2 linked regions of the Drosophila melanogaster genome follow. Changing the gene in region 1 together with any one later gene gives a genetic interaction. Each region holds a gene or a part of one and is shown in the gene's direction. Other genes may lie near its edges. The genes, in order: Klf15 and SPARC.

Region 1 (3,851 bases):
AATACTTGCAAACGGCTTCAAAATGTCCGGCTTAAATGAGTGGGAGTTTCGAGTTCTGGGTGCTATGATTAAACTGAGGTGACAACATTTTGCCGAGTGCAATTTACAGTAAAATTGTATGCATAATTTCCGTTATGACACTTGCGGTGCGCACACACACAGACACACACGCACACATTTGAACGGAGAAATTTATTTGCAGATAGATGGATAGATAGATGTGGTTACACATTCCCAAAACACTGCAGGAAAATTCCTTTTTGCAATTGCTGGGCGGACTAACCTCATCTAAAAACCACTTGATTTCAAATATTTCGGAATTTAATTAATATGCTGCAAAATGGTTTCAAAGGCGAACCTTATTTACAATCGAAGTTATATATCTTTTTATGTCCTGCTACCTGTTTCCACCGGTGCATGTTTGTATTGGCCTACGAATCTGTAAGTAAGTGGACGACCAGGCACTACGGCTAAATACCAGAACTGCCTGCAGGCAGCATTCTAATTTATGTTATCCTTGCCACTCCACTGAGGCCACACAAAGGGAAATTCTATGCACATATACAGAAATCAGAGTCGCAATACCCTGCTGTAATTACAAAGTGCCAGAGTCGAACTCACAGCCAGACTCCACAATTGAGAATACAGAATCCGGTATCCGGAATACAGAATCCCAAGTCCCGAGTCCCAGACCCGCAGACCAGTTGATATCCTTTAAATCCCTTTAATGCCGGCGCGCAGCCTTTGATTTTTGCAATATCAATTAGCGTAAAACGCGTAGGCCGCCAAAAACTGGTGAAACTGGTCGTGATTGGTGGGTTGGGGGGCATACCAGCCCATGAGGATTTACAGCTGCTGATTATTTCATTAGGCGAAAGTAAATTTAAACGCCAGCCGCACGTTAAATTTATGTTAATTTCCGAAGGGCTGCCAGCCAAAAAGGATGCGGAAATGGCATAGACGAGGAGCAAAAGCTAAGGGAAACTGGAAACTGGCACAGACAGCCTCGGAAAATGAGACGTTCGAGGGGGCGGGTGGGTCTAGTTGAAGGCAAATGGGTGGAATACTATATTACAGCTCGTGCAGGGTCACATTTTAATGCTGCATTCTTGCGCATTACAATGCACTTTAAGTGAATTGTAAATTGCACACCACTGTCTGTATTAAATATGAACGAAATGAGTTGTCAAAAAAAAAAAAAAATGACTAGCTATCAACCTTTTCCAACTGACCATATGCTGCAAATGGACCGTTGCCAAGCCAAATGATTTTCGAACAGAAAAATATTTTCAAACAGATAACTTTCCGTGAATTTAAAACCATATCTGCGGCTCCACTTGACACACATAGGAAACGCACTTGTTTTGCTTGGAACCGAAACACTGATGATCGACCGGGAATATCCATATCCATCCCCCGGGCATATCTAGTTCGCTAGTAATAATCATTAATTAATAACAAATTTGTATTGATTGTCCGGCGAGCAAAACAAAAACAAAAGAGCGAGATGGCGCACTGAAAGCGGGAGATCAGGTGCCGCGCGGCTATACATATATAGCAATATAGCTAGCCGATCTGTGGCCTGACACTGCTTGGCACTCGGCATCCGTCAGCGATTTCGATAGCATTGCGGATTCCCGGACCCGGCCACCAAAAACCCGGGCACATGTGTCGCCGATCAATGCGCGCAACATCTGGTGCGAATGGATATGTACGTACGTATGGATGTATCTTTATCTCAGTCTCGGACTAATGAAGCCGGCAGCGCGTTAGATACGTTGCTCGCCGGCTAATTATTCCCCAAGGGATCCTGGCCACCAATCACTGGAAGCAATCGAGCCACGATCGCAATGAGTGCATCTCTTGATACCCATTGTTCTAGGCAGATCGCAGGGTATGCTATACTATTGTACTTGTAAAAGAAACAATTTAAGTAAACATTCTTTTCATGACATATCAATATGATTTTAAGTACTTAGGGTATATGCCCTGCGATTCCCAACCAGATTCAATGGCTCTCATCAACTTTTCCGACGCCTGTCACTCATCCGGATTGTCCGTGGATATTATAAATATTTGGACACTCGACTGGAGTCCGCTCATTTGCGATCATGGACTTCTTTGCGACGGGTGGATTCCAGCAGCTTTACAGCGACTTGGAAGAGGAGCCACTGGCCGGCGGCGATGCGCTGCTAAATATAGTCAGTGTTGGGGAATTCGATAGCACCTATGTGGATACTAGCTTTTCCGGTGGCAACTATAATCAGCTGGAATTCGAGGAGTCGGATTATTATGGCATCATCACATTGGACAGTAATAATAATACAAATACTAATGGGAATATCCAGGTGGGTCTGCCCCACGTGGAGGATCCTTCATTGTTCATCGACTTCAATGACCTGACCGTATGTCCGCCGGACTTAAGTGATTGGGAGCAGCGACTGCTGGATAACTACGTAGAGATTCCGGACCTGGTGGACTTTCTGCCGGAACGAACTCCCCTGTGCACGGATAACTGTGCGGACTTTCTGGAGGAGAGCAACAGCAATCTGCGGCTGTCGGGGCCACCACATTCAGAGATTTTCGTTCCCGATCGATCGTCTTCCTCGCCCGGCAGCAGTGATTCCGCCAGTCCAGCTGAAGCTGTTGCCCCACCTTCTGCCCTCCAGATGAGTGAAAATGCCGCCGGCGAACGGGGTTACCTGTGCACCTTTGGCAATTGCGAAAAGATCTACGCCAAGCCCGCGCATCTGAAGGCCCATTTGAGGCGGCATCTAGGCGAGAAGCCCTACGTCTGCAGTTGGCCAGATTGCGTCTGGCGGTTCTCCCGATCCGATGAACTGGCCCGCCACAAGCGCTCCCATTCCGGCGTGAAGCCGTACAAATGTGACTACTGTTCCAAGTGCTTCGCCAGGTCGGATCACCTCACCAAGCATCGTAAGGTGCACGAAAGACGTCTTCTGGCCGCCTCCAGAGCTGGCAGATCCCTGATCTCCGACGATCTGTATGCCGTGCGACCAGGTCGAAAGCGAAAGAATCAGTTATGACCACATTCCAAGGACACGATGGATGAGTTAGTTTTAACGTTTTGTACTATTTTTTTTTTTTTTATCACTTAAGATTAGTTCGCATGGGAAACATATCCATAAAATAGAGCTGAAGTATTCCTTCTTTTGTTAGGAAAATTATCAAGAGTTTTATTTCGAATGGGAATATTGATGGTAATAATTACTTGCTGCTCTGTTTTACATAAATGAAATGTGTTTGCTGATTTAAATACGGAAATCATAAACCATTGATAAACTCATTTAGCAGAGTAAAGGAGCATATGATTTAATAAAAAGAAAAAGGGTTACACGCATGAAGTTAATTCATTACAAAAGTTAAATCGAATTTATTAATATAATGAAAAAGGCTAATTTTACGCGGCAGAGCAATTATATCCAACTAAGCAGTGATGTTTCAACAACAGTAGGCCGTTTGCATAGCTTCAAAAAATTTATTAGCGTACATTATATTTATATACTTAAAACATTCAACACAATTCGAGAAATATGGACCGAAATAAGCCACTCAGACTAATTGGCCTCTCCAGTACCGAGCCCGAAAAACAAACGAAACTTACACTGAACCATCTATGTCAGCTGCCAGCACAATGTCCCATAGAAAAATGCATTTCCACCGTTTTCAAGGATGATATGCTCCAACATTTGGCCCAACGCCATTTCCGATCAAATGTGAAAAAGCATTTGCAAGTGGCCTTCAACGGAGAACGCTGTACCCTGGTCTTTGATGTTTCTCAGCTGATTGGAACGCAGACCATATGTCTGGGAGTTCTTCTTTACGGCGGC
Region 2 (3,933 bases), on another chromosome or scaffold:
ACTTGTTTATGTGTAATTACTAATGTCTAAAATTCTCTTTGATTTAGATGCTCTTTGGGCGGCTAAAGCTCAAGAATCAAGACACTCTTTAGTAAGCTCGTTCATAAGCTAGGCCACACTCGCTTAGAGTTACTAAGCAGGAAACTTAACGCATTGTCTCTCTATCATAGGACAACTAACTACGATTTTACTGTACACTTAAGCTATACCATTGATTACCCTACGATTGACCTAAGCTATGGCAGACTATATATAACTATTTTATACAACGTATTGCGAGGAGCGAGCACTTCTCCAGTTCGAATTACTCTAGACATAATTATGAAACTCTGTATCGTAGAAGAATGCCCAAAATACGATACGAAATTACAACAGGCTCTCTATTTAAATCTAAACCTCTCTCTCTATCTGTAAAACAAGAAGAAGGATTGTGCAATGGTGGAGGATGGAAGAACAATTGCCAATCAAGATCAATTAATTAGACATAAATCACGGAGCTGTAGCCTGAGCTTATTGGCCCAAAACAAGTAGTTTAATCGTAGATGCCTATGTATTACCTAAACCATTCAAATAAGAAGATACGTCCAAACAAAAAAAACACAAGAAACAAGAAACAAGAATATAAGAATCCGGAGCGAAGTCGGATCCCAAATCAAATCAAATCATACGCAGGGCTGGCGGGCGTGGCCTTAACTATTAATGTACACAAGAGATGATATCAAAACAAATGTCAATTTTTACAAGAAGCAAGAATCGGACACTTATATACTGTATTAATGTTAAAGGTTTCTTATCTCGTCGCCCACGATGTTAATTCATATACTACATATATCTCTTCTTATTTGTATATCATGACGAACTCAAAGAAGTGTATATACCCGAAAAAAATGCGAAGAAAATGTATATGCTTTCGGATTAACTAGACTTACGATTTATTCTCGACTCTCTCCTATTATTAAGCTGTTGTGCACGCCAAGGGCTTTGAATTGATCTTTATATATAATGCAGTACTGAAATAAGAGAGGTCTAGTCCACAATTTGCAAGATTCGTTATGCTGCATTATCGAGATACAATTTATCACTTAACCGAACTCTATGAAAACCCATACGCATATTTATTTTAAATAAATACAAATTAAAAACAACACTATGTATTTGTTTTAGCTGACGATATGTAAGTCTCTTTCTCTTTAGCGATAGCATAAACTATATTTAGTTACCGTTATGCCATTCTAGATACAAACAAATATCGCTCTAATTTTAAACATACTCTACTCTACAAAATACTCTTGAGACAAAGTTAATTCGTAAGGTAAGTTAGTAACGGATCTCATCTAGGATAAACTAGAGTTTTTATAAGTGCTCTTAAGTTTCTAACTTATGTGTATCTTGTTATCGAATCTTTATTACGCTTTTCTAAGCAAACAACCTATTTCTTTTCCAAAAAAAAAATAAACCCCCGGAGCAACGCTGGAGTGGCCTATTTCAAAAGACCAAGGCTCAAGTTTCCCATAAACTATGAGGTACGTAGAAGAGGACACGATTTATTTTATGTGTTGAAAAGCAAGAAACCAATAAAAAAGAGCTGCCAAAATCGAAGCAATCAGTGTTTTTATTCCAAGCGAACATGTTGGGAGCCAACACGTTGGAGGCGACACCAAAACCATGGGCAGGCAGTGCTCCATGCTCCACTTTGGCGATCCGTAATCATTCCGAAGCTTTTCCACAGGCAAACAGTCGCCTGCCATCCGCCAACGCGATTAGACATTTGAAGGGAAACACTTTTTCATTGAACGCACAGTGAGTACTCACGCAGAGTGAAACAAAGGATTGAGTGTCGTAATCGGATTAACAAAACAAGTGTGTGACATATGCAGATACAGATACTTTGCTTGTTCCTCAAATTTCTGCAAGCTCAGCTCTGGCTCGAGTTGCTCAAGTTCAATGTTCCTTGCTCATTGGCAAATAGTCAATCAATTGGACTTTATTTTCGATGAAATCAGTTCGTTAATTGGTCAGAACTGAGAAGCAAAAGTAAGTCCAGTGATTTGCAAGGTCAACTGTGAATTGCACTTCCGCCAATTCAAGTAGATTGTATCTGCTTTTGGTCCACTTTCATTCGCGATGCATAAACATTGCATCTTGGACACTGCATCACGTCATTGTTTCTAGTTTCGTCGGCATAATTAAACAAACACATGTGGAAGTATATATTGCATTGTATACATAGATATATATGTGTGCAACATGTGGAATGCACTGCAGCAGCATCCCACTCTCGGATATTCCTGGAAGCTCCATTCCGCGAGATCGCGTATACATTTCTCAATTGCCAGATACATAGCTGCGCATTTGACTTGATGTTCAGCGGCACAAAAGCGACGATTAAGCACATCTTGCTTGTGCTACCCAAAACGGAAGCGACCGACCGATCCTGATAAGCGGCGGTGGGGCCAAGTCGGGCTGGAACCTGATAAGCCAACTGTGTCGTTGGGCAACCAATGATGTGCCATATATGCCATATAGCACATGTACTAAGATTGAGCATAGAACTGGGGCGACATCTTGAAATGATTACGAAAATTCGGCTTGAGTTTAGCCTGTGTGTGTGTTTAGCAATAGGATTAAGGTCAGCTTTAATCAGGTATATTCGCATTAATGGGAGCATCTGCATATATAGATGATTTCATAAACGATTTGAACTGCTCAACATGTGTTCAACATGCCCCAAATTCTGAAATATTCAAACATATTTCAAATTTGCGGTTGCAAAAAGCGAGAAAAATGCTTATTTGCAGCAGGCAGCAGGAAATGAAAAGCAAACATTGAAAATTCTGAGATTTTATCCATTCCCCCGACTTTGTTTCTATTTTAAAAACTCCAGATCTGCAGTAGTCATCTTCCGCCATCAATGAGTTGGCTTTGTTGTTCCACAAGATCTAAAGATCCATAAATAAAATTGCCCATAAAAGGAAATGCATCTGTATCTGCGCGCCACATTCGCGTTGACCTTTTGAACCCTGCAAGATTTTTGCGGCTTCTTCAATTGTTTTCAATGAGCAAAAAGACGCCGCACGAGATGTGCATGTAAAACCACCCCGTTGTTTGGTGGTTACAAGATCGCCAGTGGAGTACAGTAACGACGCAGCGCACACGGTACAGTCGCAAACCAATCCTTGAAACGGAAGTTGGGCCAGGGCCACAGCTAATCTCAATGTAATTTGGGTTTTCACAATCGCAATGACTTGATAATGTACTCTATTTATAAAGGCACTTTTAGTTCCAAATATATAGTTTAAATATAAAGAGAAGAAAAAGGTGTTTTAAAGATGCTTTACTTGCAATCCCTGTAGTTGAGATCGCCATTCGAGATGCGCTCCCTTTGGCTGCTGCTCGGCTTGGGCCTGCTGGCTGTGAGCCACGTCCAGGCCTCTACGGAGTTTTCCGAAGATCTGCTGGATGAGGACCTCGACCTGTCCGACATCGATGAGAACGAAGAGGAGTTCCTGCGCCTGCTGGAGGAGAAGAACAAGGCATGTGGCCGCAAGTCAAACCACAAATCACACTTAATGCACTAACTGAATTCCATTCGCAGATCAAGGATATTGAGCGCGAGAATGAGATTGCCACCAAGCTGGCCGAAGTGCAGCACAATCTACTCAATCCCGTTGTCGAGGTGGATCTGTGCGAAACGATGAGCTGCGGAGCCGGTCGCATCTGCCAGATGCACGACGAGAAGCCCAAATGCGTGTGCATTCCGGAGTGCCCGGAGGAGGTGGACACTCGCCGCCTGGTCTGCACCAATACCAACGAGACCTGGCCGTCGGACTGCTCTGTGTATCAGCAGCGCTGCTGGTGCGACAGCGGCGAGCCCGGCTGCACCAATCCGGACAACGCGCACATGCACATCGACTACTACGGCGCTTGCCACGA

What was found.
Region 2: of Klf15 (region 1) and SPARC, changing one suppresses a phenotype caused by changing the other (phenotypic suppression), as found in Drosophila melanogaster (one study listed by BioGRID).

Annotation. Positions count from the first base shown.
Region 1 is NC_004354.4:4,769,778-4,773,628, reverse strand, and holds Klf15 (Kruppel-like factor 15), read left to right. Parts: upstream 1-2,040; 5' UTR 2,041-2,111; coding exon 2,112-3,047; 3' UTR 3,048-3,072; downstream 3,073-3,851. Other genes in the region: CG15472 (uncharacterized protein), read left to right, coding at 3,555-3,851.
Region 2 is NT_033777.3:26,869,793-26,873,725, reverse strand, and holds the start of SPARC (secreted protein, acidic, cysteine-rich), read left to right. Parts: upstream 1-1,730; 5' UTR 1,731-1,800; intron 1,801-3,158; exon of another isoform or gene 3,159-3,216; intron 3,217-3,353; 5' UTR 3,354-3,371; coding exon 3,372-3,533; intron 3,534-3,595; coding exon 3,596-3,933.